7 linked regions of the Ovis aries genome follow. The protein of the gene in region 4 purifies or fractionates together with the protein of the main gene of each other region. This does not show direct contact. Links are inferred from orthologs where the notes say so. Each region holds a gene or a part of one and is shown on either strand. Other genes may lie near its edges.

What was found.
Region 1: the proteins of MEPCE (region 4) and U6 snRNA-associated Sm-like protein LSm3 purify together in Homo sapiens (affinity purification with mass spectrometry; 3 studies listed by BioGRID and IntAct, with this or other methods). This does not show direct contact. The link is inferred for Ovis aries from reciprocal best matches to the Homo sapiens genes MEPCE and LSM3.
Region 2: the proteins of MEPCE (region 4) and SNRPN purify together in Homo sapiens (affinity purification with mass spectrometry; 3 studies listed by BioGRID and IntAct, counting the BioPlex papers as one, with this or other methods). This does not show direct contact. The link is inferred for Ovis aries from reciprocal best matches to the Homo sapiens genes MEPCE and SNRPN.
Region 3: the proteins of MEPCE (region 4) and CCNT1 purify together in Homo sapiens (affinity purification with mass spectrometry; 3 studies listed by BioGRID and IntAct, with this or other methods). This does not show direct contact. The link is inferred for Ovis aries from reciprocal best matches to the Homo sapiens genes MEPCE and CCNT1.
Region 5: the proteins of MEPCE (region 4) and YBX1 purify together in Homo sapiens (affinity purification with mass spectrometry; 3 studies listed by BioGRID and IntAct, with this or other methods). This does not show direct contact. The link is inferred for Ovis aries from reciprocal best matches to the Homo sapiens genes MEPCE and YBX1.
Region 6: the proteins of MEPCE (region 4) and SART3 purify together in Homo sapiens (affinity purification with mass spectrometry; 6 studies listed by BioGRID and IntAct, counting the BioPlex papers as one, with this or other methods). This does not show direct contact. The link is inferred for Ovis aries from reciprocal best matches to the Homo sapiens genes MEPCE and SART3.
Region 7: the proteins of MEPCE (region 4) and METTL16 purify together in Homo sapiens (affinity purification with mass spectrometry; 3 studies listed by BioGRID). This does not show direct contact. The link is inferred for Ovis aries from reciprocal best matches to the Homo sapiens genes MEPCE and METTL16.

The regions. Positions count from the first base shown.
Region 1 is NC_056080.1:116,710,702-116,713,081, forward strand, and holds U6 snRNA-associated Sm-like protein LSm3, read left to right. Parts: upstream 1-1,255; 5' UTR 1,256-1,268; coding exon 1,269-1,577; 3' UTR 1,578-1,880; downstream 1,881-2,380. UniProt on the Homo sapiens protein: Plays a role in pre-mRNA splicing as component of the U4/U6-U5 tri-snRNP complex that is involved in spliceosome assembly, and as component of the precatalytic spliceosome (spliceosome B complex).
Region 2 is NC_056071.1:1,222,484-1,226,731, reverse strand, and holds the start of SNRPN (small nuclear ribonucleoprotein-associated protein N), read right to left. Parts: upstream 2,801-4,248; 5' UTR 2,781-2,800; exon of another isoform or gene 1-2,780. Other genes in the region: SNURF (SNRPN upstream reading frame protein), read right to left, coding at 2,801-2,906.
Region 3 is NC_056056.1:137,457,545-137,461,637, forward strand, and holds the start of CCNT1 (cyclin-T1), read left to right. Parts: upstream 1-1,293; 5' UTR 1,294-1,348; coding exon 1,349-1,509; intron 1,510-4,093. UniProt on the Homo sapiens protein: Regulatory subunit of the cyclin-dependent kinase pair (CDK9/cyclin-T1) complex, also called positive transcription elongation factor B (P-TEFb), which facilitates the transition from abortive to productive elongation by phosphorylating the CTD (C-terminal domain) of the large subunit of RNA polymerase II (RNA Pol II).
Region 4 is NC_056077.1:36,542,249-36,546,489, forward strand, and holds the start of MEPCE (7SK snRNA methylphosphate capping enzyme), read right to left. Parts: upstream 2,801-4,241; 5' UTR 2,212-2,800; coding exon 547-2,211; intron 1-546. UniProt on the Homo sapiens protein: S-adenosyl-L-methionine-dependent methyltransferase that adds a methylphosphate cap at the 5'-end of 7SK snRNA (7SK RNA), leading to stabilize it.
Region 5 is NC_056054.1:17,183,077-17,187,107, reverse strand, and holds the start of YBX1 (Y-box-binding protein 1), read right to left. Parts: upstream 2,801-4,031; 5' UTR 2,662-2,800; coding exon 2,496-2,661; intron 2,241-2,495; exon of another isoform or gene 1,950-2,240; coding exon of another isoform or gene 1,916-1,949; intron 1,806-1,915; coding exon 1,742-1,805; intron 1-1,741. UniProt on the Homo sapiens protein: DNA- and RNA-binding protein involved in various processes, such as translational repression, RNA stabilization, mRNA splicing, DNA repair and transcription regulation.
Region 6 is NC_056070.1:64,531,259-64,535,461, reverse strand, and holds the start of SART3 (squamous cell carcinoma antigen recognized by T-cells 3), read right to left. Parts: upstream 2,801-4,203; 5' UTR 2,780-2,800; coding exon 2,468-2,779; intron 1-2,467. Other genes in the region: iron-sulfur cluster assembly enzyme ISCU, read left to right, coding at 4,179-4,203. UniProt on the Homo sapiens protein: U6 snRNP-binding protein that functions as a recycling factor of the splicing machinery. Promotes the initial reassembly of U4 and U6 snRNPs following their ejection from the spliceosome during its maturation.
Region 7 is NC_056064.1:23,304,368-23,307,867, forward strand, and holds part of METTL16 (RNA N6-adenosine-methyltransferase METTL16), read right to left. Parts: intron 1,272-3,500; coding exon 1,131-1,271; intron 1-1,130. UniProt on the Homo sapiens protein: RNA N6-methyltransferase that methylates adenosine residues at the N(6) position of a subset of RNAs and is involved in S-adenosyl-L-methionine homeostasis by regulating expression of MAT2A transcripts.

The sequences.
Region 1 (2,380 bases), on a different chromosome or scaffold from region 4:
TTTGCAGCTGCATGTAGCCCGCCAGGCTCCTCTGTCTATGGGATTCTCCAGGCAAGAATACTGAAGTGGATAGCCATTCCTTTCTCCAGGGGATCTTCCCCACCCAGGGACTGAACCCGGGTTTCCTGCATTGGTGGGCAGGTTCTTTACCATCTGAGCCACCAGGGAAGCACCCATGACTTAGTACAGCAGGGATACTAAGGCAGACATGTGGACTCCTTTGTTGGACAACTTTGGCTCAAGGTCTTGCAGAAGTTTCCTTAGACTGCCTGGTAGTCTCAACTGCTTCCATACATCCTTTTCTCTTCTTTCCCTCCTTACCAGTCAGGCTTCACTCACAGCTCCTTCTCTATTTTCTTTTTTTTTAAATATAAATTTATTTATTTTAATTGGAGGTTAATTACTTTCATACAGTCATTTCTCCTAATAAAATCTTGCCGTGTTTAATCTTGTTTTGACAAGAGCTTCTTGGAGGTGTAGAATAACATAAGTAGAGTGGGTATTTGAGATTCAGGAAACAGTGTTTACTTCCTAGGCCTAGATCTGAGTCACATGACTTGGTAAGAAAACCCAAAGCTGTGAGACTTCAAGAAAACTTAATGTTTGGTAGCTGTATATGCATGACCAGGTTATCAGGAATAATAAAGTCAAAAGGGGTGAGGAGGAAGATGCTGGGGCACTGGCTGCAAGCCCTGTCGTTGCCTTCTGCCATCCAAAAGCTGGGGAAAGATCTCTGAGTGTCTTGGGGAAGCTAGTATTTTCATTCGGCACCATCTTACGTGGCTGGCTCTGGTTTGTCGGCCTGGCTCCAGATGTCATTCTTTTCCTCCATGATTACCAAGTGGTTGCTACATCATCACGTGAGAAAATACTGGGTAACGCAGTAGAGAATTTGGGATCCAGGCTTTACTTCTTTCCTAAAGATGATCTCATTTGGTCAAGGTCTGTCTTCCAACTTCCAAAAATCTCATTTTTCTTGGTTTCAGCTTTTCCACAAGTTCTTTGCTATGTCTTTTGTCTTTGTAAACATGAAATGTTTTATTTTCTTCACTCAATTAAAATGCGTTTTGTGGGGACTTCCCTGGTGGTCCAGTGGTTAAGAAAGACTTCACCTTCCATTGCAGGGAATATGGGTTAGATCCCTGGTCAGGGAGCTAAGATCCCACATGCCTTGTAGCCAAAAAAACATAAAACAGAAGCAATATTTTAACAAATAAAGACTTTAAAAACGGTCCACATTAAAAACAAAACTTAAGAGGGTTTGAAAGATGGCGGACGACGTGGACCAGCAACAAACCACCAACACTGTGGAAGAGCCCTTGGATCTCATCCGGCTCAGCCTGGACGAGCGCATCTACGTGAAGATGAGAAACGACAGAGAACTTCGAGGCCGGTTACACGCTTATGATCAACATTTAAATATGATATTGGGAGATGTGGAAGAAACTGTGACAACTATAGAAATTGATGAAGAAACATATGAAGAAATATATAAATCAACAAAACGGAATATTCCGATGCTCTTTGTGCGGGGAGACGGCGTTGTGCTGGTTGCCCCGCCATTGAGAGTTGGCTGAAACGAGAATCCGCCGCCTGTGGGAGACGGGCTGTGCTGTGCGGTGGCCTCTTTGAGTGTGGAAGATGTTCCAAAGAGAGACCGATGTGCATCTTGATGCTGAAAATAAGCAAGAATTCTTCCACTCCTGAAATAAGTTGATTTGTAGATAACTCACAAATACTTCAGCTAAACGGCATTTTTATTTTTCTCCAACCCTTCCAATAAATGTGATCGGCGCGATACAGAAAAAAAAAAATAAATAAAAAAATAAAAAATAAAAAAAATAAAAAAAAATAAAAAATAAAAACAAAACTTAAAAAAATATTCATATGTTTTCAGCTCTTCCTTTCTTTTGAATTCTTTTTTTTTTTTTTTTTGGTGGGGAGAAGTACAGTTGCTTTACAATGTTGTGTTAGTTTCTGCTGTACAACAAAGTGAATCAGCTATATAGCTCTCTTCTTTCCTTAATATTTATTTATTTGTTTGTTTGCCCTGGGTCTTAGCTATGGCACACAGGATCTTCAATTTTGTTGCGACATGTGGGTTCTTTTAGTTGTGACATGTAGGATCTAATTCCCTGAATGGGGATTGAACCCCAACCCCCTGCATTGGGAGCCATGTGTCTTAGCCACTGGACCACCCAAGAAGTCCCACAGCTCTCTTCTTGAAGAGGCAGGTGTGTGTTCTGAAAAGAATGGGAATGGAGATGGAATCTCGACTCTACCACTTCCTACATGTGAGACTTCGTGGAAGTTAATTTTATGAGCCTTGATTTTCTTGTTTATAAAATGTAGATAACACCACCTACCTCCCAGGATAGTT
Region 2 (4,248 bases), on a different chromosome or scaffold from region 4:
GTGGAAACTATTAATCCACAAAGCAATGCCACTTAAACCAGAGGAAAACAATTTTTCCATTTTGGAAAGTGTTTATCAAAGGGGAAAAAAGAGACATCAAAGGTGGTACTAAGAAATTATCACTGTAGTAATTATTCTTGAACTTTTGAACTGTGGTGTTGGAAAAGACTCTTGAGAGTCCCTTGGACTGCAAGGAGATCCACCAGTCAATCCTAAAGGAAATCAGTCCTGAATATTCAGTGGAAGGACTGACACTGAAGCTGAAACTCCAATACTTTGGCCACCTGATGCGAAGAACTGACTTATTAGAAAAGACCCTGATGCTGGGAAAGATTGAAGGCAGGAGGAGACGGGGACGACAGAGGATGAGATGGCTGGATGGCATTACTGACTCTAATAATCATGAGTTTGAGTGGACTCCGGAAGTTAGTGACGGACAGGTAAGCCTAGTGTGCTGCAATCCACGGGGTCGCAAAGTATCAAGACGTGACTGAGCAACTGAACTGAATTATTCTTGATGGTAATCAATACTGCTTATTGTGTTATTAGAAAGCAACATAACAAAACATTTTATAAATTACTAATTTTTATACGTTGCATACCCAAACTGAATCCTCATCCTAATAAATTTAAAATACCTAATATACACTATCTTAAAAATGCAGAATATTCGTAACAGCATAGCAAACTAGGGGGAAAGAAACACAAGTACAAAGAAAAAGTAAATCATGAAGGGACCATCATTTATTCATTACAAATCATATTGAGGATTATGTAATAAAATGAAGGAACATTAATGATATACATAAATAGAATAGTTTAAAAACATGATTACAACTATGTTTTCAAAAGAAAAGCAAATGGGTAAAATGAAAGAAAAAAAATGCCACTATGGTTGAAACATGGCTATTTAAAATCTGTGGTTTACTTTCCCATTTTTCTTGGCTATCACTCATATGCTTTACATTTTTATAATGAAAAAGAAAACATATCAATTGTTTAAATGTCTTTACCCATTTACACGTACAGCAGACTTTAACAAGACCCTTGTCACCAAATTCATCTGATTCTCTACTCTGTAATGTTTACTTCATCTACTCTCCTTGTAATACCTTTCCCTTTACCACATTCTATAGCACCAACACTCCCCTACTGGCTCCACCTTATGTTTTCATCTTTGAAAGTGGTTCTCTAAGAGACTAGCAGACTTTTTCTTTTAAAAGGAAAGACAATAAATATTGTAGGTCTTGCCTGGCATTCAATCTGTCATGAATGCTCCCACCTGCCACTGTACTGTCAATAATATCCACAGGCCTTATGTAAATAAATGGATATGGCTCTGTGCTAACAAAATTTTATTTATAAAAACAGGCAATAAATGAGTCAGATACTTTATCAATCTTGCTGTAAAATAATTCTAGTAACTAGTACTATTTAGATGAAACTAGCACTTAAAACTTAGAAAATTAGATTACTCTACTTGTAGATCATAATTATGATTTAAATAATACTATACAGGAACTTGCAAGAGTATCTAAACTATACTAAAGGGCCAAAAAATTCTTGGTTAAAAAATCAATTATGCACACTTATTCATGTAAAAACGTTCTTACTCTGGGGGACAGCTGAGGACAATTATCAGATTCCACTGCCTGAAATCAATTCTACTGTCTTGCAATCAAGTCCAGGCAATTACTGGAGAATGCTGGGTAAAGTATTCAGTAGGGGAGGATTTTTCCGTTTGAAATGATGGCCATAAGCCTAATTAATTTGAGTTGCAGGGTTATACTCTGAAATAGAAATAAAGAAAATCTAGAAGAAAACTCATCTATAAACTTCTTTCCTTAGTTTCTGAAAAGTACATACTAAACCCTTTGAACTTAGGTCATTCAAATCTTAAACTTAAGAAAGGAAAAATAGAGTATTTAATCAAAATTAATTGCAATTTTCTAAAAATCTAAGCAATTAACACAAAAAGACACTGTAAATAAATCTACATAATACTGACAAATCATAAGTTAATAATAGTTTTGTTACATTGTCAGATGACTCAAACAAATGGGTAACAAAACATGAGGAAAGAAAACAAGAAATAAGTAGTAAATAAGCCTGGGAAAATATTTAGCTTCTCATCTGCTAATGGATGTGATGTGTATTTCTAATTTAATAGAAATAAATTATATGTAATTGACAAAATTAATGCAGATGAAAGTGTACCTGGCACTATACTTTCTCATGGCAACTGAAGACTAATAATTCATAATATAATTTAGAACATGAACCTTAATTTCAAATTCCTTGATTTATTTTCACATCTGCATATCCAAGGAAATGGTCCTATCTGTTTTGCAAAAAGCAAATCACTGAAACTTCATTTCAAACTATCAGCAGAAAAGATAAAGTTCTCACAGAAAGGAATTCTAAAACATATTAGGAGGATATTCAGCAACTATTTATAATGAAATACTTCTCTTACGTTAAGGTGAAAAGCAGTACAAGTTAAATATGAATAAAACTACCTAAAAAGCAAAGACTACATTGTCTAGAAAGTAACTCATGACAAAAGTCTTTCAGGGTGAGAGCATTAAGGTACTGCTTTTACTTTTTAAAATTTTCTGCTATGTGTTTATATTTGTATGATGCTTTTAAGGAAAAGAAATTGAATATATCCCAAATAATTAAATGACCTCCAAACATCCTACCCTTTAATTAGTTGTTTAATCCTGATCATGATTTCATCAGCTATAACCTGTTTTTATTTTTCTCTTGAAATCAGCTACCTTGGTGTTCCAATACTGCTTTAACCACCTCTTGGTGTCTCAGCTAAGAATGCCTGTCTCAGTTCTGCCTGGAAATCCACCACAGGTACTTGCTGCTGCTGAGATCGCCTCAGGTACACGTGACACCTACGACAAGAGCACAGAACACATAAATGAAAAGACATTTCCCTATATAGTTAACAATGCAAGCATGAAAAGACCCTTAAATTTAATACTCCAAGGTTCAGAGCATACCACTACATTATGAACAAATTATAAAAGAGGAGGCTCTCTGCACATAGGAATGTACAAGAACTGAGGGATACTTACCCTCTTTGGTGATATTACCAAGGAACTTAAAGGAAAAAAGAAAGAGCTCTTTTGGTTTAAAATGCCCTATAAAAGAACCAAGAGTATAATAACCATTTCTAATCTGGAAACAACTCTTTAACCCCTAAGGAGGTAGGGTATTGGTTAAGGCATTTCCAATGAGACATTTTAAGATAGTTATTTATGCTGACTGGAAGTTACTAACTGAAACAAAGAACCTCCAAGCTACTTAGGCTCTCAGACTATGTAAATCTACCATCCTTTAGTTATCAGGGAATTCTAGAAAAATACTCAACATATTCCTACCTATAAGTAAGACTCTATCTGGCTGTAAATCTGATCCTGAGAATAAGAGATACAGTAAATTACACAGTTTGCTGGCTAACAAGACAAGCATAAATAAATCACCAGCCAAAAAACTGCCCTCATTGTAAGTATGTGCTTGCATGCTAAGTCACTTTAGTTGTATCCAATTTTTTGTGACCCTGTGGACCTTAGCCCGCCAGGCTCCTCTGTTCATGGGATTCTCCAGGCAAGAATACTGCAGTGGGCTGCCGTGTCCTCCTTCAAGGGATCTTCCCAGGGATGGAACCCATTTCTCTTACTTCCTGCACTAGCAAGCAGCTGATAAGTACATATGTATGAAAATATTCAGTAACAGCTAGAATTGAAAATGGGACTGTGATAAATGGTTTTCCACTATTTCTATACTTTTAAATTAAGACTTTTAACTGCAGTTCATGGGGTCACAAAGAGTGGGACATGACTAAGCAACTGAACAACAACATAAAGAATTAGGCTGGACTTTGTCCATGGTTCCTAGGAGGTCATCTCTAATCCTTTGAGTTTAACCAGTGATAGGAGTGTGTTTGTTATTCATGGTGGGCCTCTGGGATCACACCAGAGTTAAAGCTAACTAGATGGCTCAGGTTAAAACCTGGGCTTAGAGAACAGAATATTTATGCTGCTTACCTGTTTCTATAATCCACCTATTATCAAAGTGGAAAAAGGTGGTTGGGGAAATTATATTGTTTTTCCAACTCAAAATTACCCTCAGATTCTAGTTCAGCACCTCCTAGTATTTATACATAACATATACAACAGACATCAGGTAAATGAAGTTGTCTCTTCTTCAAAAGCAATAAAGTATTTCCACAGA
Region 3 (4,093 bases), on a different chromosome or scaffold from region 4:
AAATATTATGAGGAAACCTACTGAATGTTTTCTATGTGCCCAGTACTACTACAACTGTTTGTAACTTATCAAATCACTTAATCCTTTTCAGAACCTAAATCGTATGTACTGCATACCATTTAGGAGAAGGCAATGGCACTCCACTCCAGTACTCTTGCCTGGAAAATTCCATGGATGGAGGAGCCTGGTAGGCTGCAGTGCATGGGGTCACAAAGAGTCGGACACGACTGAGCGACTTCACTTTCACTTTTCACTCATGCATTGGAGAAGGAAATGGCAACCCACTCCAGTGTTCTTGCCTGGAGAATCCCAGGGACGGCGGAGCCTGGTGGGCTGCGGTCTATGGGGTCGCACAGAGTCGGACACGACTGAAGCGACTTAGCAGCAGCAGCATACCATTTATAACAGGTACAGGGAAGTTAAGTATCTTGCCTAGGAACAAACAGCCCTCAAGCTTGGAGCGGGGATATAGCTTGACAGTGGACAGGAATTTAAAAATCTGCATGCGCAGGATGGTAGTGGAAGTTTTCCACACGGAAGGAGCAGTTTTAGTTCATCCGGTCATACAATGGGGTTAAGATAGTACCACTTTTCCGGGTTGTTCCGATTGAATAAGAGTCAGCGATGTGGTAAGCACTAAATTATTAATAAAATGAAATTATTAATTTATTTTATTCCTTTAAATTGGTTCAGCGTGGCGAATCATTAGTGTCTTCGAGGATTTAGCTACGCGTTGAAGCTTTTCAAGTGGGTAATTTATACTGCTACCAACGAATTCAAGAGCTTCCGGTGGCTTTATGTTACGATATACGATAGGGCTACTCGCTTTGATTACTTTTTTCAGTTTTTGATACTCTTACCCATTTTCTCTGTCAAGTTCTCTATCTGCCTCATTTTGTACAGCCACCTCCGTCACAAGCGAAATTCTCCGAGAAACCGCCACGCGGCGCGAGGGCGGGAGCCTCACCCACCCACAGCCTTTGCCTCGCCCCCTCGGTCAGGGCGCGAAGGCTCAAAATAGTTCTCGCGAGAGGAGACTTTTTTTTTTTTTAACGAGAACTCCTAACCCCACCTTGCCTTTCCAGGGTCACATGACTGGCGCCTGCGTCCTAGAACCAAGGTTTTTCTGATCGCCTACTGGCTGTTAACTCGGCTGCAGGCTGACCAGGGGTCCATTCCGGAAGTAGATCCTTTACTTCCTCCCCGGAAGCGTGTCACAACCTAGCCGTCCGGCCTTTGCGGAAGTTCGTCACGTCGCAGTTGCCCCCGCACAGCGGATGTGTGTCGCCGCTTAGGTGACGCCGAGAAGTGCTTGCAGCCGCCGCCGCTGCCTTCTGGTTGAAGCACTATGGAGGGAGAGAGGAAGAACAACAATAAACGGTGGTATTTTACTCGAGAACAACTGGAAAATAGCCCGTCTCGTCGTTTTGGCTTAGATCCAGATAAAGAACTTTCTAATCGCCAGCAGGCGGCCAATCTGCTCCAGGACATGGGCCAACGTCTTAACGTGTATCCTTGCGGCCTAGGCCTTTCGGCCTTGAAGTCGGTCCCGCCCTGCTCTGCTTCCAGTCTTCAAGGTCTGTTAGACAAGAAGGGAGGAGGGTGGGCAGGGACTGGGTGTCTAGTTAGGAGAGCCTACGATGGGCAAAACTTAAGTGTTCGCGAGAGGGAAGCGAGGCGGAGTTAATTTCCCGCTCGCTCACCGGTGCCACCAGCCTTAGTGGGAATGAGTTTCCTTCCCGCTTTGTATTTTAAAGTAGTAGTAGTCCCATTTCGGTGTGTTGTGATCTCCTGTTCTGGTGACTTTGAGATTCTGCTTTTCTGTTATGCCCAAAGTGTCTAGTGGAGGTTTCACTGTTGATGGCTGCCTTAAACTTACTGTGTACAGAGAGTTTTGAGAAATTTCAGTACCTGAGGGTCTTATTAAAAGGGTGGCTTAGAATTAATACCCTAGCTTTGGCTTAAAATCCGTTCCTTCCACTTACTGCTTGTTGGAGACTGGTTTATAAAATGGGATGATACCTCTTGAATTTGATTTCTATGCCTAGCACAATATTGGGCACTTATATGTTCAAAAAGTAGTTACTGTTAAGAGTTTTACAGTATTTCAGAGGAAGGAACGATGTCAGTTTAGTTTGTAGGCAAGTAGACTTACAGATCTAATGTTCTGAAAAATCTTTTATAAAATACTGGGGTTTTAAGTTACTCAAAGTGCTAATGTGTATTCGTTTTTCTCATATTTAAAAGATTTAGTGGGGTTTTTTTCCCCTTTAAGTGTTTTGGTCAGAAAACCTACTCATTTTGTAGCAGACAAAGCTGTAGAGTTTTGAAGTTCTTTCCACTTAGGAAGTAAAAAATTTGTTTTTGGGCGCAACTACCATTTAAATGTGTTGCTGGCTGTATGTTTCTTTCTTAAGGTTGTCCTCACTTGAAAAAAGGTGTCTTTGGTGCCCATATTCAGTGTGTTTCCTAAGCATCCAGTCCGTACTGAGTTAAAATTTTTTAAAATCTGTTTTAGTGCATCCTAGTAGTTTCCTTGTGTGTGTATTACTGTGGTACTGTCTCATCTCTGTGTGCTCAGTCGTGTTCCACTCTTTGCGGCCCCATAGACTGTAGCCTGGCAGGCTCCTCTGCCCATAAAAATTTCCAGGCTAGAATACTGGCTGCTAAGTCGCTTCAGTCGTGTCCGAGTCTGTGCGACCCCGTGGACTGCAGCCTACGAGGCTCCTCCGTCCATGGGATTTTCCAGGCAAGAGTACTGGAGTGGGTTGCCAATACTGGAGAGGGGTGCTATTTCTTACGGGGAGGGTGGAGGCGGAGAATTTTCCTGACCCAGGGGTTGTTCCTGTGTCTATTGCGTCTTCTGCAGTAGTAAACAGGTGGTTTCTTTACCACTAGGGCCACCTGGGAAGCCCCCATCTGTGTATATCCCACATTGTTTTCTGAGGTCTTTTTAAGTAAGGCATTCAGAAATTTCCCTTTTCAAGAGAACCCTTGGACAGTGTTGGTGGTAGTGTATATTGGTGCAGTCATTGTGGAAAACCAAATAGAGGTTTCTCAAAAAGCTAAAAATTGAATTACTATATGACCCAGCAATTCCACACCTAGGTATATAAAACAAAGACACTCATTTGGAAAGATATGAGCACTCAGTTTGTTCATAGGAGCATTGCTTATAGTTGCCACGATATGGTAGCAAACTGAATGTTCATGGACAGATGAATGAATAAAGAATAGGTGGTATATATAGACAATGGAATACTATTTAGCTATAAAAAAGTATGAAGTAATGCCGTTTACAGCAATGTGGATGGACCTAGAGGTTATCATACTCAGTGAAACAGTCAGAAAGAAAAAGACAAATGTATATTATTTACATGTGGAACCTAAGGAATACAACTGGTGGAAACAAAAGGTAGACTCAGAGCTAGAGAACAAACTAATGGTTAGCAGTGGGGAGCGGTGAGGGGGCAATGTAAGGGTGGGAGTGCGAGGTACAAACTACTGGGTGTGAGGTAGACTACAAGGATGTATTTTATATTTTACAACAAGAGGAATATAACTGTAGAAATTGGAAATGGAGCATAATCTTTAAAAAGTGTGTTAAAAATTAAAGTCGGAATTTTTCTTTTCAATGAATATCAAATAATTCATTAAATACCAAAGTGTTTCTGGTCCCAGGGATCACCTTATGAGAAGGTTTGGTTGCCAGAGGGAAGTAGAACTGAAAAGTTAATTGCTGGAGCTTAGAAGATGAGATTAGTGGAAACATTCCTAGGAGGAAATCAGTCCTGAATGTTCATTAAAAGGACTGGTGCTGAAGCTGAAACTCCAATACTTTGGCCACCTGATGTGAAGAACTGACTCATTTGAAAAGACCGTGATGCTGGGAAAGATTGAAGGCAGGAGGAGAAGGGGACGACAGAGGATGAGATGGGTGGATGGCATCACTGACTCAGTGGACATGAGTGTGAGCAAGCTCTGGGAGATGGTAAAAGACAGGGAAGCCTGGCGACACAACTGAGCAGCAGCCTAGGGGGCAGATCGGGGAGGGCTTGAGAAGATGAGATAAGCAGAAGCATACCTAGAGGAC
Region 4 (4,241 bases):
TGGTGATGATCTAAGGCGAAGTCGCTTGGGTTCCTGGCCACTGACAATCAACTCTGTGTGTGACACAAATGAGGTCCCTATCAACGGACAGAACATAATTAGCCAGCCACTACCCTAATCCTCCGCCCCATCCCAAGACATTGAATGTTGGACACCCATCCCTTCAGGCACCTACAGAAGGCCGGAGGACAAGTTTTCATCTGGACCACATCCCCCAGTGATTATGAGCAGCAGCCCCCAAAGGAAAGTGGATGGGTCTAGATTACAATACTGCCCAGGAGCAGAGCAAAAGGAACCTGCCCCTATCCTGGGGCTCGTCATGAGTAAGGACTCCAGGTACAGCCCCTGCCTTTCCAGGTTATAGGAGGGCAGATACACCAAAATGGAATCAATTGCAGATTCAGACCATTCTCTTGAGCACCTGGCTTCTCCAGGGAGGGGTGCATGCACAGGAACCCTCTGGGTCATAACCCTCCCTGCCATGTTCTCATTCACTCTCATCTTCATGCCTGACCCCTATTCCCAGGAGCCTGGGGACCCTCTTACCGTGACGAAGACAACGTTGTTGGGGAAGACCGCTGTGTCGGCTCCATCCAAGGGCACTTGGGGTGCAGCGATGGGACCACGGCTGGCTGTCAGCGAGGCTGGGAAGTAGCTCCTTTTTCGGATGGCTGAGGTCCCTTCCTCACTCTCTGCTCCTGGGCTCCCCTCAGAAGTCTGGGGTGGCAGACGCAGTTCTTCAGACAGGTAGTGTCGGATGTTCTGGCGGGCTGAGTGGATGAGCTGGGCATCGATATCCAGGCCCACCATGCGGGATGGGCCCCACTTACAGGCAATGCTCAGGGTCAGGTGGCCCACATTGCAGCCCAGATCGAGGACGTCCCGACCCCGAAACCACTCAGGCTTCAATACCCGAAGGCGCCCATCCTCACAGGAAGGATTGCGGTACCCATAGTACTTGCAATAATTCCCATACTGGAACTTGCACTGTTGCTTTTTGAAGGTTGCGGCAGGTAGTGGCTGGAGGTGGTGGCGCCCTCCCCCAGTCCCTCTGCCCTTTTCCTTGGAACCCTGGCCTCCACCCCGAGCTCCTGCCTCTGACTTGCTGGAAGTCCTGCGTCGTTTGCGATGTCGTGAGGAGGAAGACGGGGGTGCAGAGGTAACTGAGGCAGCTGGAGGGGCTGAAAGGGAGCCTGAGGGACCCTGGAGGGCAGATGGAAGGGGAGACACGACCTCATCCCTGCAGTTGATGGCTGTGTTGAGTTCATAGGGTTGGGGGGCGTCCCGGTTCTGGCCCCCATGCTGCTGCGTGGTGCCCTCCCCGTGGAGTGAGGAAGTGAGGGGGGCTGTGGGCAGCGCGGAGTGGCTATCATTCCCTCCCGTTGCCTGCTGCTGCTGGTGGTGGTGCTGTCCCCGGTGTCTATGCCGTTTCCGACCAGTCTTGAGTGGCGAAGCAAGGACAACTTGGGCCTCATCAGTGCAAGTATTGAGACTGAGAGGGTCTGTAATATCTTTGGGGATGAGGATCTCCACTGGATCTCGCCCCTTGGCCGGAAGCGGGGATGACTTAGGGGTCTCCGCATTGAGTGCACGGCTCACTTCCTCATCCAGGAGACTATTCAGGTTCAGGGGATCAAAGATATTGCCCCCGAGGAGGAAGTTGGAGGGTAAGACAGAGTCACAGTCCGAATTAACCCGCCTGCGTCTCTTGAAGGCCGGATGTTTGAAGCCTCCACCACCTCCCCCTACATGACAGCTATTTCTCCTCTTGCCCCCACCTCCCCCTGGGGGCCGGTGGGGCTGATAGCCATTCCGGGGTCGAGGAGGAGCAGGGGGGCCCAGTTCTGTTCCGCCTCCTCCCCGTCGCTCCTCCCCCACGTCCGGGGGAGCGGCTCGCCCGTGCGGATCCGACAAGCAGGCCTCCCCGAGTGACTGCGCCTGGGGGCCGCCCCCTCGTTGCTGCTGCTGCGACTGACCGCCTCGAGGGGTGGATGCAGCCCCGGGGCTCTCCTTGCCGGCCATAGAGGCCGGGGATCCCGCCGAGTGAGCGCGCGGGCCCGGCGCACGCTGCGTCCCGCCGCGGAGCTCCCCGGAGGCGGCCTCTCGGTGCGGTTGCACCGTGGGGCCGCCCCCTCCGCCCGACTCATCTTTGAGCGGCGGCGGTGGGGCCGGCACCAGAAACGGCTCCTTCTCCGCCGCCATCTCGATCATTTCCTCCCCTTATTCCGTTCCAGTCGAGGGCAACCAGGGGGGCACCGGGGGCTTAACCCCCCTTCCTAGACCACGCTCCCTTCCCCCCGCCTCCTTCCCCGAGTGCGCGCGCAGTGCTGCTCGTCTCCCCTGGTCTCGCGCCCAAGCACCTCCCCGGAAAGCTCGCCCCACTCGCCCGCGAGACCAAAACAAGATGCCCGCGAGACCCGAACAACTCGAGGACTCAACCGCGCGTGCGCCGACCCCTTTCTCCTCTACCACTACCGCTCCGGCGCGAGCGCGCACGGCTGGGGCGCGTTCCTCTCTCCCTGGAATCACGCATGCGCACTCCGCCACCACCCTGATTGCGCGCGCATCGGAGTACGAACCAACTTAACGGCTCCGGGAGTTTAAATACAGCCCTTCTCAGCCCGCCCCCCACCCGCAGAAGCCCACCACCCCAAACTGACACCCTACTTCCCTTCGCAGCTATGTCCGTCCCTACTGATATCCTTTTGTCTCTGCCGCGCGATCCCACCCACCGTAGGCGGGGGACGGGGAGCTGGTGTGAAAAGGTCTCCTTGACACCCGACCCTTGTTCCTGAGGAATGAGTCTCAGCGGTCTCCGCCCGGCTCTAAACCCAGCAACCTCCCCACCCCGCCTCCTTCCTCCCCCTAGCGAGCAGCGCCTGCGCACACCCTTTTGGGCTTGCGCGGGTAGATGCAGCACGTGCTGGAGATGACGCCCCGCCCTCCGTGCTAGGGGCGGGGACTGTTACGTTACTTCCTAGGGTTTGGAACACGCAACATGCGTCAGCACGATTCGGAGGGCCGTGGCTAATGGGCGGGGCGGTCCGTATGAATTATTCATGACCCAGTTGCCCCCCCCCCCCCCCGCCCCGGTGCCCACCTATTTAGAAAGGCTTCCGAGGGAGCGGAGGGGTGCACCTAAAAAGGAGAGGAGGGGAAGGAGCGGAGCATACTGACCGTCTTCCTACGAACTGTTCTCAGTATAACACGATAGATCATTTTAACTCATCCCCCCCTGGAAAACAGTCTCTGCTGAACTGGAAAAAGAAAAAAAAAGCACTAAAACAGGCGATGTTGTCTTAACTTCCTCTTCCCCCTAAACAGCCGAGTCGTTCTCTCGCTCCCCGATCGCGATCACCTGGGGACACCACGCCCTCTCCGCCTCCACACCCACCTCCCGCACCAATGCCTCCGCCCACCACCCGACGCCAGCGCACGAGCCCCCCCAGCCCGGAGACAAGCTATCCGACGCCCACTACAGCTGCCAATAGCAGTACACCCAGCACCGCCGCCCCCCCCGCCCCCCACTCCGTACACAGGCTTTCCCGAGCACACGCTGCGGCTCCGAGCCGCCTTATATAAAAACGAATGTGGGCGAGGAAGAGATTTCGGTCCGCTTTGGGGGCTCCCTGCCTTAGCCTATGGGGAGGAAGCTACTGGACAGCCTTTCCACTGGGTGTTTGTTTGGTGGCTTGATTTCCTTGCCAACAGCGCTTGGGGTGCGGGTCCTGTGGCTGAGAAAAGGGTGGAAGAGGCGAGAATGGGGTTAAGGATAGATCTCAAATAAAATAACAAAATAAGGGGATGAAGGATACTAAGAAGAATGCGAATGAGGGCACGAAAAGAGGACGGAAAAGGCAGTCTGGGGCAGAGAAAGAAGTCAGTAAAAGGAAGATGTGCGTCTTGAAACATCAGGCGCTACGGCTGCCACCTAAAAAAAAAAAAGCGAGGCCAACGGGGATTATGGGATTTGTAGTTTTATAGGGTATTCGGTTGGAAGATGGCGGCGATGACTGCTGCGCAAAGGCAGAAACGGCCTCCAATTGCGCATGCGCATTAGCCCTGCGAGCACGCCGCCGGAGGAGGTGGAGCTTGCGAGTGGCCTCGCGCCTATCCTTGTTGGCGGGAAAACTGGTTGGAGGTTCGCGCGGCTGGTGGAGTCGCTGCAGTAACTCTGTCTGCTCCTCACCCTTAGAGCCTCTACGCACCAGAAGGTAGTTGGTGTTTTTCCGCTTGCACCT
Region 5 (4,031 bases), on a different chromosome or scaffold from region 4:
ACTGTGGTTAAGACAATCCAAACAAAGGATCATTAAAAGCCAACTTACATTTAACTTGCCCTATCTGATGATCAAAAGAGTTGATTACAAGTTAGATGGATAAAGGAATGGTTATCTCACAGAATAAACTTAGAACCCGAAGAACTGCTTTTATCTTGGATTATCAATTGTTCACCTACAAATATAATCTAGATCCATTTAACAAATGCAGCAGAACAGAAGGCACATATATACCACAATCTTTAAAACACACACACAAATTACTTAAAAGGCTGCAAATTATAGATCACTCCTAATAGGCACACCTGTGATAGCCTATCGCCACACTGGGTCAAAGGTCAAAAGCAGTGTTTCTCAAACTAAGGCTTACAGGCTATTATCACCTGGAATTCTCCTTAAAAATGTACTTCAGACCCAATGAATCTAAGCTAAGAAAGAACTCAGGAATGTGTACTTTTATCCTTTCAAGGTAAGCACACAAATTCGAAAACCACTGGTTTAAGGGTGAGGCCAAAGTAAAATCAGAGTAAGACTGAAATACTAACAAATTCAGAGATCACCTAAAAAGTGGTCAAACACTGGCATCAAAGCAGTCCCTGCCTTCCTCACTAGTAACCCATTATCAAAAAACTGATGAGAAAATGTGGCCTTGGCCTGTCCCAAGGCAGTGTAAGAACAGATGGAAAATTCCTAAAGATTTTGGAAGAAACAAAATGTTTCCTCAACTGCAAACGTGGAAAACAGACCGTCAAATGCTTACAATCTCTTTTGCTTTCTGAGCGTTTGAGTAACTAGTGGGTTTTTGCCAGCCAATTGTGTGTCTAGGCTTGATCTTGCCCACTTGGTTTCCCTCAGTAGAGTCCATTTCAGAAACATTCGGTATTACTTCTTACTCTTGAAGTTCTTTCAAACATCCAGCGTAATAGGGGTGTTAAGAAATACAACGCTGCGATGACCGCATCACACCTGTAAGGCCAACACTGCTGTCAGCACGCACACTGCTCTACACCCTGTAGCTGCACCACCAGCCCGGGCAGCCATCTTGGAAAAGATGCCCGGCTGACAGGGACCACGAAGAGCACTGTGAGCGAACTGCCGTCACCATCCCACTGCTACAAACAACTCAAAGGGTTAATCCTTAAGATGCAGTTTGCAGCTCTGCCTTCAAATACAAAGACGAATGTAATCGTGGACTAAGGTCACTGTAAGCTACAACCAAAGATTTAACAGGTACGATTTGGGGGGACAAGGAAGTAGGAGGAATAAGGCAATAAGACCTTAGTCAAAATGACATACTTGCATTGTCAAAGCACGTTACCTCCAAAGGTTAAAAAGTTGTAAATAACCTACATAGTAAACAGCGGCTCACAATTTCAAATACCAATTTCAGTAACATAGAAAAGAATGACGGATAAAAATGCGAGGTGTCTAAGCCTAACAAAATCACACCAGATCTTAGCTTTTTCTCAGTTCGCCCTGGTAAGAGATGGCTCACTCACTCCGCCTGCCTTTTAAATCGCTTTGTATCTTTCAAGTTAGCTAGAGATCAACATTTAGCTACAAAACAAAGACAATCTCTACGTCTCCTAATCCTTTCGGTCACCAAGGAAAACAAAACCCCACTAGCCCTACACCAGGGATGGCAACCTACACAAGCGCCAACAACCCCAAGTTCCTAAAGCCTACAGATGGAGGAGAGCAATCAAGAGGCAGGACAGGGCTTCAGCGGCGGTCATCTCACCTGTTGATGAAACCATATCCGTTTCTTACATTGAACCATTTTACTGTTCCCAAAACCTTCGTTGCTGAAGGAGAGAGGAAAAAAAAACCCACAATTACTAGACGTCCTTTTTCAAAACCGCCACGCTTCAGCATCCGGTGGCTCACGCATTCCCTGGCAAAGACCCATGGCCACCTGACAGCCTTTTTCCCCAGGGCCTGCCGGCCATCCGCACGGTCCACGTGGGTGAACCCACCGCAGCAGAGGCCCCGGGTCAGGCCCGGGGCGCGGGCCCGAGCTGGGTGTGCGCGGGGACCGCGGGCGGCGGCGAGCACGTGAGAAGGGGGAAGCCGCCCGGCCCACTCCGGCCTGCGTAGGCGGCGCGCCGCGCCCTCAGGGTACACGCGGAAGGGAGCGGGTGGGGGACGGAACAACGGCGTGCGGGCCCGGGCGCACGCGGCCGGCGGGCACGGAGGGGAGGGACCCCGCCGCACACGCGGTCGGCGGCGCGCGGCCGCACAGGGGGAGGGGCGCGCGGCCGCGCGGGGTCCGCAGGGGGCGCGGGAGGCGGCGCGCGCGCGCGCTTGCCGGGCACGCGGACCGGGCGGGCCAGCGTCCGCGAGGGCGCGAGTGGGGGGGCCTGGGGGAGGGGCGGCCGCGCGCCGCCGAGACGGTCCCCGCCGGCCGCGCGCCCGCCGGCTCGCCCCGCTTCGGGTAACGGTTCCGCCGCCAGACTTCCCTACTTGCCCCACCCCCGTCCACGTCCGGCTCTCACCGATGACCTTCTTGTCCCCGCCGGCAGGCGCCGCCGATGTGAGGCCGCCCGGGCCGCCGCTCCCTGCGCCGCTGCCCGTCGTGCCGGGCTTGGTGTCGGCAGCGCTGAGGGCGGGGGCGGCGGGGGGGGCGGCGGGCGGCTGCTGGGTCTCGGCCTCGCTGCTCATAGTTGCGGTGATGGTGACTGGGGCCGGCTGCGGCAGCTGCGGCTCCTCCCGGGGTGTGATGGTAACTAGGCCGGCGGCGGCGGTGGGGCTGCTCAGGGCTCTCTGGGGTCCGCTCTCCGCTCCCGCTACCGATCGAACTAGCGAGAATGGCGGGACGGGCGGGATAAGCCCTGCGAGCGACCCGCCCTAAGCATCGTTCACTGGTCAATAGTGTTGTCAATCTCACCACCTGACCACAACTCCTAGTTTCTATTGGCTAATAGTCTTTCACTCCTCCACTCTCATTGGCCTTTAGGCGGCTAATTCGGCCGACCTACAACCGTTCCTGCCTCTGCTGCCGCCATAGAGACCGGAACTAGAATTAGAGTAGAGTCACCACGAGAACCATAGAGAACCGGAGAGGACGGGCAAGAGGGGACGTGACTTTCACGAGGCTGCAGCCGGGGTGGGCCGGCTCCAGGTCCAGGGTTGTGTCCTGGCCGAAGGAAAGGTACGGCCAGATGCCTGCGCCGGGATTACCCGGCCTGACCTGGGGGCTTGGAACGGGGCCCGACGACACCATAGCTGCATGTGGAGAAGGCCTCCCTCCCGCCCTGCTCCAAATATGGTCCCTGTGACCTCAGACCATTACTGCAGATAGAGCCGTCTTTTCTACAATGGCCGTGTACTCGCGGCACAGCCGGGAGTTTCTGGAACATACTTAAACGTCTCCATTCAAAGAGCGTCGGTTTACGGCGAACCAGTCACTCTGCGGGGGGGATCACGCTAGCTATTAGGAAGCCCCTGTTAAAAATATTGAGGGCGGAGGGCGGGGGTGTACTCCATGGGGACCTGCCTTCCAAGCACAGGAGGACTGTCTTGTTAAGTATTCACATCTTTTTGTATTGGCCACAAAAAAAGATTTAATTTCAACTCACGTTTATTGAGCAAGCTAGGCATGTTATTCTTACAACGGCCATAATTGAGGCTGCCACACGAAGTAGATGAAGCCCTGCACCTTCGTTCTTTATAAAGCGTCTGCTCTCTCCCGGGGATGGACAAGTTCGCCAGTTGCAGCCTTCTTAAACTCAGTCTAGGGATGAAGGCACAAATTCAAAATGCGACATACCAAACACCCCAGCGCTGCTAACGCACAAAGCGTTTTGGGAGTGGCCGTGGGAAGAAGGTAGAGAGCCGACTTCAAGCACATGGAGGTTTATGCAAAGGCATAGAGGGAAGAGATGGGGGTCTGGGGGAAATGCAACTAAAGTAGTTATGTAGGACCAGAATGAAGACGCTGGGTTATACAGGAAGGCCGGGTTAAATTAGGAACATTTTATCTGAAACTTAAGGGCAGTAGTGAGAAGGGTAATTTTAGAGTTGAAATGGGG
Region 6 (4,203 bases), on a different chromosome or scaffold from region 4:
CCATCGTGCAAGTGCTCTGCAACAGGTTTCCTCTCGCCCTGACAGCACGACCTGCACGGAGAGGTGACAGAGGCGCCTGGTGGGACCACACTCGGCCCAATCACGGGAAGGGACCACGAGGTGCCGCTCCTAGTTTCAGCCACGACCACACACACAGCGGGACATCTCCGCTTCTGTTATCTGGACAGATTTCACAGCTGACTGTGAGCTTTCATAAAAACACTTGGGGTCAGAAGTGGAATTCAAACACGACAAGGCCGAGCACTTCGCGGGCCTCTCTGGAAGTTACTGACCATCACACTCCACCAGGAGAGTCGTTACAGCAAGAACTAGAGGCCGGGATTAAGAGGACATGGGAGGGAGTTTTGGGAAAACTGGAAAAGTCCATTTCTGGACCCCAGGAAGAAGATAAAGCCAAAGGCTCTTCAGTTCACCATCACCTGCCGGATCCCATCCTGTGCGGTGGCCTGAGGTAGGGTTGGCAAGTACACACCACCAGTGGCCAGGACACCTCTGCCCAGACCCGTCCTCCACTTTAGTAAGCAAAATACCCTCACTGAGGGTTTAATCGCTCTGCTTCCGAGCCTCCCCTTCCCCTCAACAGGTAATTCTATTTCCCCAACTAAGCAAGATAAGGGCTCACTGAAAGGCCAAAGGCCAGAGAGACAGACTGCCACCAGGACAGGGTCACAGGCGGCCTGCCACCTGACATTACACTGCAACTGCCAAATGAGTAAGAGAATGAATGGACTGCGGCAGGCTTGTTTATAGAAGGCAGGAAGGGTAACCACCGGCCTACCCCTGGCTGGTTCAGACGGGATGACAAATGAGACAGATATACCGAAAGAAGATACAACTATTTCACAACTTAGCAGGAACGTCACCACCAGAGAGGACATTATAAGGAATCTCACACCCAGCCAAGTTAACTGAGAAACCCAGGCTACCAACCCCACATCACTAACTGATTTCACACCCACTGTGGCATTCGGTCTACAGACAACCTGGAAAAGTTCAAATGCCCTTAGGCCTGACTCTGACCAAAACACTTCATCAGTCCTTTTGAGACTCTGTGTCCTCGTCCGTAAAATGAGATGGGAGCTCCATCTCTTCCCCTCCAAGACTACTCCACTCTCTCCCCTCCCTGTCCTGAGACCCACCATGTGGACCACATCCATGGGGTCTCTGGGTCTCGGGGTTCCAGCAGGATTTGCCCAACAGGCCATGTGGAAGCGAGGCACTGAAGTAGGTCAGGGTACTTCTTGCCCACCCTCCTTCCTGATGGGAAACGGGGGCTACCTCCCTGGAACAAACATCTCAACTCCTCTCAGGGATCCTCTCCACAAACTATCTAGAAAACCAGTCACTCCATCACCTCTACAGGACTAAAGTGGACACCTAAAGGTCCTGCTACTACTAGCCCTGGGAAACCAAACCTTTGCTCCTGACTTCCCTGCCCCAGACTCAACAGTCTCTCCATTGCTGTGCTGTGCCCAGTCTTGTCCGACTCTTTGTGACCCCACGGACAGTAGTCTGGCGGGCTCCTCTGTCCATGGGATTGCTCAGCCAAGAATCCTGGAGTGGGTTGCCATTTCCTTCTCCAGAGGATCCTCCTGACCCAAGGATTGGATCCATCTCTCCTGCACTGTCAGGCGGATTCTTCACCACTGAGCCACCTGGGAGGCCCAGTCTCTTTATGGACCTTTATTCCAAACTCTCCTAACTTGAATGTGCCACCTACTTCCTGCTGGGATCCTAGATTACATAGGAGACACCAACACCTGTACCTTCTAAAGTTACAGATTAGAAATCACATAGCTACTATTGCCAGGCCCCGAGCCCTGATTACCGTTAGGACAATTCTCTGGGCGGGAACCGTTTGTCCCAGTTTACAGAGTGGAGGATGAGAGACGTTATAATATTGGCCCCAGCACACACGGGTGTGGAAGAGCTAGAACTGGGGCCTTAGCCTCCAGACGCTATTCCGTTTCTATTATCACCGTCACGGTCACTATTTTCCCTACCACGCCAGAGCTCCTTATCTTCGTCATTCCTACAAGCAAACTACTCTTCTTGGAGGAAAATAATCTTATTTCTAGGCCTGGACACAGTTGACCCGTATGGCTAAGAGCGGGAGTTGCGGAGTCGATTCAAAGTTCAAAGCCTGACTCGCCACTTGCACTAAGTGTAATGGTGACAAGAGAATTCCCTCCACCGGGAGCCTCAGGGTCCTCCCACAAAACGGGAAATACAGCAATTCCCTCGCCGGGTTCTGGCGAGGGTTCAATAGGATAACACTTGCGAAGCACCTGGCGAGCAGTAAGCGCTCCGAGGACCGGAGACGCGCTGGGACACTGCGATTTGGAGGCTTTGGCGCTTTATATTACTTCCGAGGACCACGGAGGTGGGCCGGGGCCTGGGAACCCGAGGGAGAGAGCCCGCCGCCGCCGCCCACGCCCGCGCCCACCTGCTCCTCCAGCCGCTCTATCTCCAGCTGATTCTTCTCCTCTTCGTCGTACCCCCACTCGTACTCCCCAGGGGAGCTCTCGGCTGAGGAAGCCATGGCGTACTCCTCATCTCCATCGCTCTCACTCACGCCTTCCTCCTGCTGGTCCCACTCTGGCCCCATGGTCTTGTACGTCGCGGCGGCCACGGCCCGCGATAACACCTTCCTCCTCGCCCGAGCCGCCTTAGCCTCATCCTCCTCTCCTTCGGCCTCGGGCCCGGCCTTGGGCTCAGCCTCCGCTTCAGAAGCCGATGCTGCGGCCGCCGTCGCCATCTTGGACTTCCAGAGACTCCCGGGTCCTCACTTGGCCGCCAAAGACCCGCAGTAGTTGGAGCTGCCCGCGGCGCGCGCCTGGTCAAAATCCCGCCCGTCTGCCACCTGAAGAGAAACTATGCGCCTCGGATGACATGGAAATCTCGAAATACACGAGATTCATGTTATTTTATATACTTTCAGTAGCTCTTGTTCGAATAAAAAAGCTCACCAACAGGGCATGCGTTTCGGCACAACGTCGGACAGCAGTTGGGTCCTTAGGCAGGAAGTGGAAGCCATAGAGGCAGCCACTGAGTGAGCGTGATGGTTGTAGTTAAGGGTTTGGCGCCATCTTGAGAAGGTCAAAAATGATTCTTGGAATAAATATCTTACCACCTAGTCTGACCTGGCGCGTGAGTCAGTCTCCCCAGCAACTGAGCCTCAAACGCGCAAAAAAGTCTTAAGTCCTCAGGGAAGGATCGATTGCACCATTCATGAGAATAACTCATTTCCCAGAGATTCCTTCTCTTTATCTAATGCCTGGCGCCTAGCACTTAAATACACGTGAGTTTTGATTTTATAGGATCATATTCTGCAAACCAGTATCAATAAATTACATTAATAAATATTTACTTAGAATCTCTTCATTGCTATATCTTGTGATTTAATCTGTGCCAGTTTGCTTTTTAATAGAGACATAAACATATACAATTTTTAAAATCAGAGCAAAGTATTCTTTCCTTTAGTTAAGCTTCTCACTTTAGTGGTAGAAAAGCCTTGGTGGGTCTATTTATTGCCTTGCTCCCTCAGTAGCAAGCTTAATTGTGTCGTCTTGGGTTGTTTTCCCAAAGCACCCTGACAAAAAGTAGATACTCAACACAAGATTTGCTCAATGGATGAAGAACTGTCCTTGAATTAGTACAAAAAAGATCGAGGTTTACAATGACACTATGTTTCACTTAGCAGCACACAGCCAGTTAGGAGCAGAAATGGGATTCTAACTCAGGACTGTTCAAGTCAGAATCCCAACTGGGCCCCTCTGGGCAACCTAGGGCAAGTTACTAAACCGTTCTGATCCTCAAATTCCTAAGCTGCAAAATAGAGCCAAGAAGGGTGGACTGGTTGAGCCTCTGCGCCGAAATAGGCGGTGGGGCTTTGTCAACGCAAAGCTGGGTCCTGATTTCCTGCTCAAGGATCCTCAAGATTCAGAACCCAGCTCGGTGGACCAGCCCTCGAACGATTTCAAACCTTTAGGCTCCGCGCCGCGGGAACAAAACGGGGACACGTGAACGCAGCGGGAGGGCGCAGGCGCAAGGTCGCCGGTACTTTAGAGGGTGCGCGCTCCCAGCAGGGAGCCGACTCGCGCACGCGCCCCTCCCCTCGGCCGCGCGCTCCACCTGCGCAGGCGCAAGCCCTCAAGATGGCGGCGGCTGGAGCGGGCCGTC
Region 7 (3,500 bases), on a different chromosome or scaffold from region 4:
GTGGCTCAGTGGTTAAGAATCTGCCTGCAATACAGCAAACACAGGAGACAAGGGTTCGACCCCTGGGTCGGAAGATCTCCTGAGGGAGGAAATGGCAACCCACTCCAATATTTTGGTCAGGATAATCCTATGGAGCCTGGCAGACTAGTTGGTGGGGTCGCAGAGTTGGAAATGACTGACTGACTTAGCACAAAGGAGATTTGACTATCTGTAGCACAGTTCCATGTACTGAAATTAAAAAGATGGTACAGTTTAATCAACAGCAGGATTTTCTTCCTTTTAAAGTCTTGGTAACTAGGTTACTTCATATACAGTTCGTTCTCATTAGCAGTAAAGTCACCACAAACACTGAATTAGTGCCTACTGAACCACTGACTCCTAAGAGAAATACAAGGTTAGGTAGCTTCAAGCCTCTGATCACATTTTCATCACCCAATCAATACATATCCTATTTTATGTATCTCTGTTTAAAGACACCTTATTTAACATGCATTACTGACTCAACACTGAACTCATGGCCAAAGGACTATAATATGTCTGAAGAAAATTTATCTGACACACGTATTTTCTGTTAGGCACATCACAGCCTTCTTGTACTTAGGAACACTAGTACTCAAGTACTATGTTTAGGGGCCATTAAAAACAGCAAAATCACCAAGAAAAAGCACAGAATTGCAACAACAACAAAAGTGGTAGTAAGCAGACCATGAAAAGAACACTTGTTTACAGTGTGTGAGCTGAAAGGAGACAGCAGGGAAAAGAAAAAGAAAAGACAGCAGGGAACACACACACCGGGTGATTCCAATTTTTTCCCATTTTGCACATGTCTGTGAATGACCACAAAAGTACCACAAGTATTGATTTGGGGGCTAAAAATAGACACAGGTAAGCAAACTTTAGCAAGGAGGCAAAGTCACAACACAGAACCTACAAAGTATGAGGGTCAGCTGCGTTCACTCTATTTCTGAGTTGATTCTGATAAGAAAGCAGCAAACCCAATTACAACTGTACCAAATTTTTAAAAATTACCAAAGCTTGTATGTTAAAGCAAAAGATAATGGGATGTGTTAAATTAGAAAAACAGGTTAACAAACAAAACTTGAAAGGAATATTGATTGTGCAGAGCTAACCTTTTATAAGATCAGATAAGTTATTCTGCTCCACATTCTTCTTTGCGTAGTTGAAGCACATATCATCTACTTCTGTTGCAAGGAAATACCAGCCGTTTAAGGTTGTTCCAAGTAAAGGATAGATGCAGGATGCCCCAGTACCTAGTGAAATAAGAATTCAAAACACATTGCACACACCTGAGCAGAAGGTGAGACCAATCAGCAAAAACACCATTCTTCTTTTCTTAGAATCCTTACAGCCTTAACAGCTTAAAACAACAAGCTGGTACTGATTATGCACACATTGCAGCTACTGGTTTCATGTATGTTAGTCTTACATCATAATTAGTTTCAAATTTCCTAAAGGAGAGAAACCTTCCCGCACTCATTGTATGCTGTATGTAAAATGAAGTATGGCTGGTGATCAAGAAATACAAGACTGACTAACTGAAAACTGTCAAAACAATTTATAAAAAGTCTTCATTTTAAATTTCTTATGAAACTTAATTTTCTTGAAAGAAATCAACGTAATTTGTTAAAACAGCACAGGAATATCTTACAAAGATCAACGTACATATCCCACTCTACAGAAGCAGGAAAAAATACAGAGAGTATAAGATTTTTATAATATTAAATCACCCAATTTCCCACATATCTATCTGTAAGTTGTTACTTGAAGGAAACCAGAAGTAAAAAGGATTTATTTCTCAGATGTGGAAGCATGGAAAAACATTTGATCCAGGTCCAAAACATCAGTCATAAACTGGTCCCACCACAGTTTCAAAGGAGACCTTCAAAAGCAAATGCTCCAGGCAAATATCTCTGACAATTAGGGTTTGGTCCTAAACTTGCATGTAGAACCTCTAACCATAGATTGGACAAGCATATACTAACCACAAATAATTGCCACTCACTGATCTTGGCCAATGAGATCCTAAAGAGTATATTCAAGAGAAGAAAAGCCGGTGTTTTTCTCAGAGGCTCACAGTAGTCAGCCCACTTTCCAGGACCACATTTTGGTGCCAGTCTAGCCTTAGAAGGATTTGGCAGGAAGAACTAGAGGCCAGAGTAATGCCTAACTCAGAGGAAAGCGAGGGTCCTCTTACTGCTTCCTCATTAAGTACTCAGAACAGGAGAGTAAAAGACACGACAGTGACTGATGGCTGGAACATTTACGATCTTTTGACAGTCACAGTGATGCTACATTTATTGTCATGTTTACTAACAACATCCTGGCCCTGATGCTACTGGGCAAACATCTCTGGGGGATGTGAGAGGTGGTAAGGGAAGGACTGGTAAAAGGTACTCAAGCCCCTCTCAGAATCCACAATTATGTAGACCCTGCTAGTCATTCTGGAAAGATAGTCACTCAAATAAGGATATTAAGGAAATTTAAGTAGCACTTCCAGCTCTGTAGGAAAAAAAAAACCCAACTCAGAGCAGATCCCAGGCCCTTGGGTCTCACATAACAGCCCCTCTCTTCGTACTTCAATTTCATTTAAAAGTGAAAAGAAAAAGGACATCTCCCTTCAGCTGTCCAAAGATCAGGTGTCATCAGGGTAATAAAGGTGAAAGACCTGCCCTCTGCCAAAAAAATCAAGTTTCTCAATTCTTAAGACCAGAAGACTTGCATTCTAACATTCTAATCCCCTCAGAAAGCTGAATGACATTTTTAAATAGGTAATAATCCTTCCAATGATAAATAAAAATGGAAAGTGTATAACTATAGAATTAGAGCAAACTAATGGAGTCTGGGGTAGGAATTTATATAAAACCCTAATTAGAATAAATGTGATTTCAGCAAGAGTGCCCCTTGTGAAGAGCTAAAATCCATTAACCTCCTATATCCCCAAGTGCTATTTTAGAGGGTTTGGGGCATAATTAAAATAAATTAGTACTAAATAGGCTCTCAAGCTTTTTAAGCTTTTTATAATCCATCAGGCAAACTTCTGTGAGGAACATAAAAGAAACTTTTTTTAAACCCCATTATTTTTACCTATTGCTTAGTTCATATCATGTGTTCAGAATTTTGTATGTTGAAAGAATGATGTATTTATCCATCAACATTCAACAAATCATTTACTGAGCACCTACCTTGTACCAAAAACTTTGCTAAGACTTTGAATGTTAAAGTATTAATAACAGACTTGGTACTTTGCAATTGGGTAGCAAAGAAAAACATTAATCAATCAGACAAGTGAATGTGGTTTTTAAAAAATTACATGAAGGAAAATACACAGTTTTCTGAAGTTCATATTGAAGGAACGTATCTTATGCTGGAAAGTCAGAGGCTTTCTTACAAAATAAGGCTTCAGTTGACAGTTCACTTCAGTCGCTCAGTCGTGCCCAACTCTTTGGGACCCCATGGACTGCAGCAAGCCAGGTCTCCCT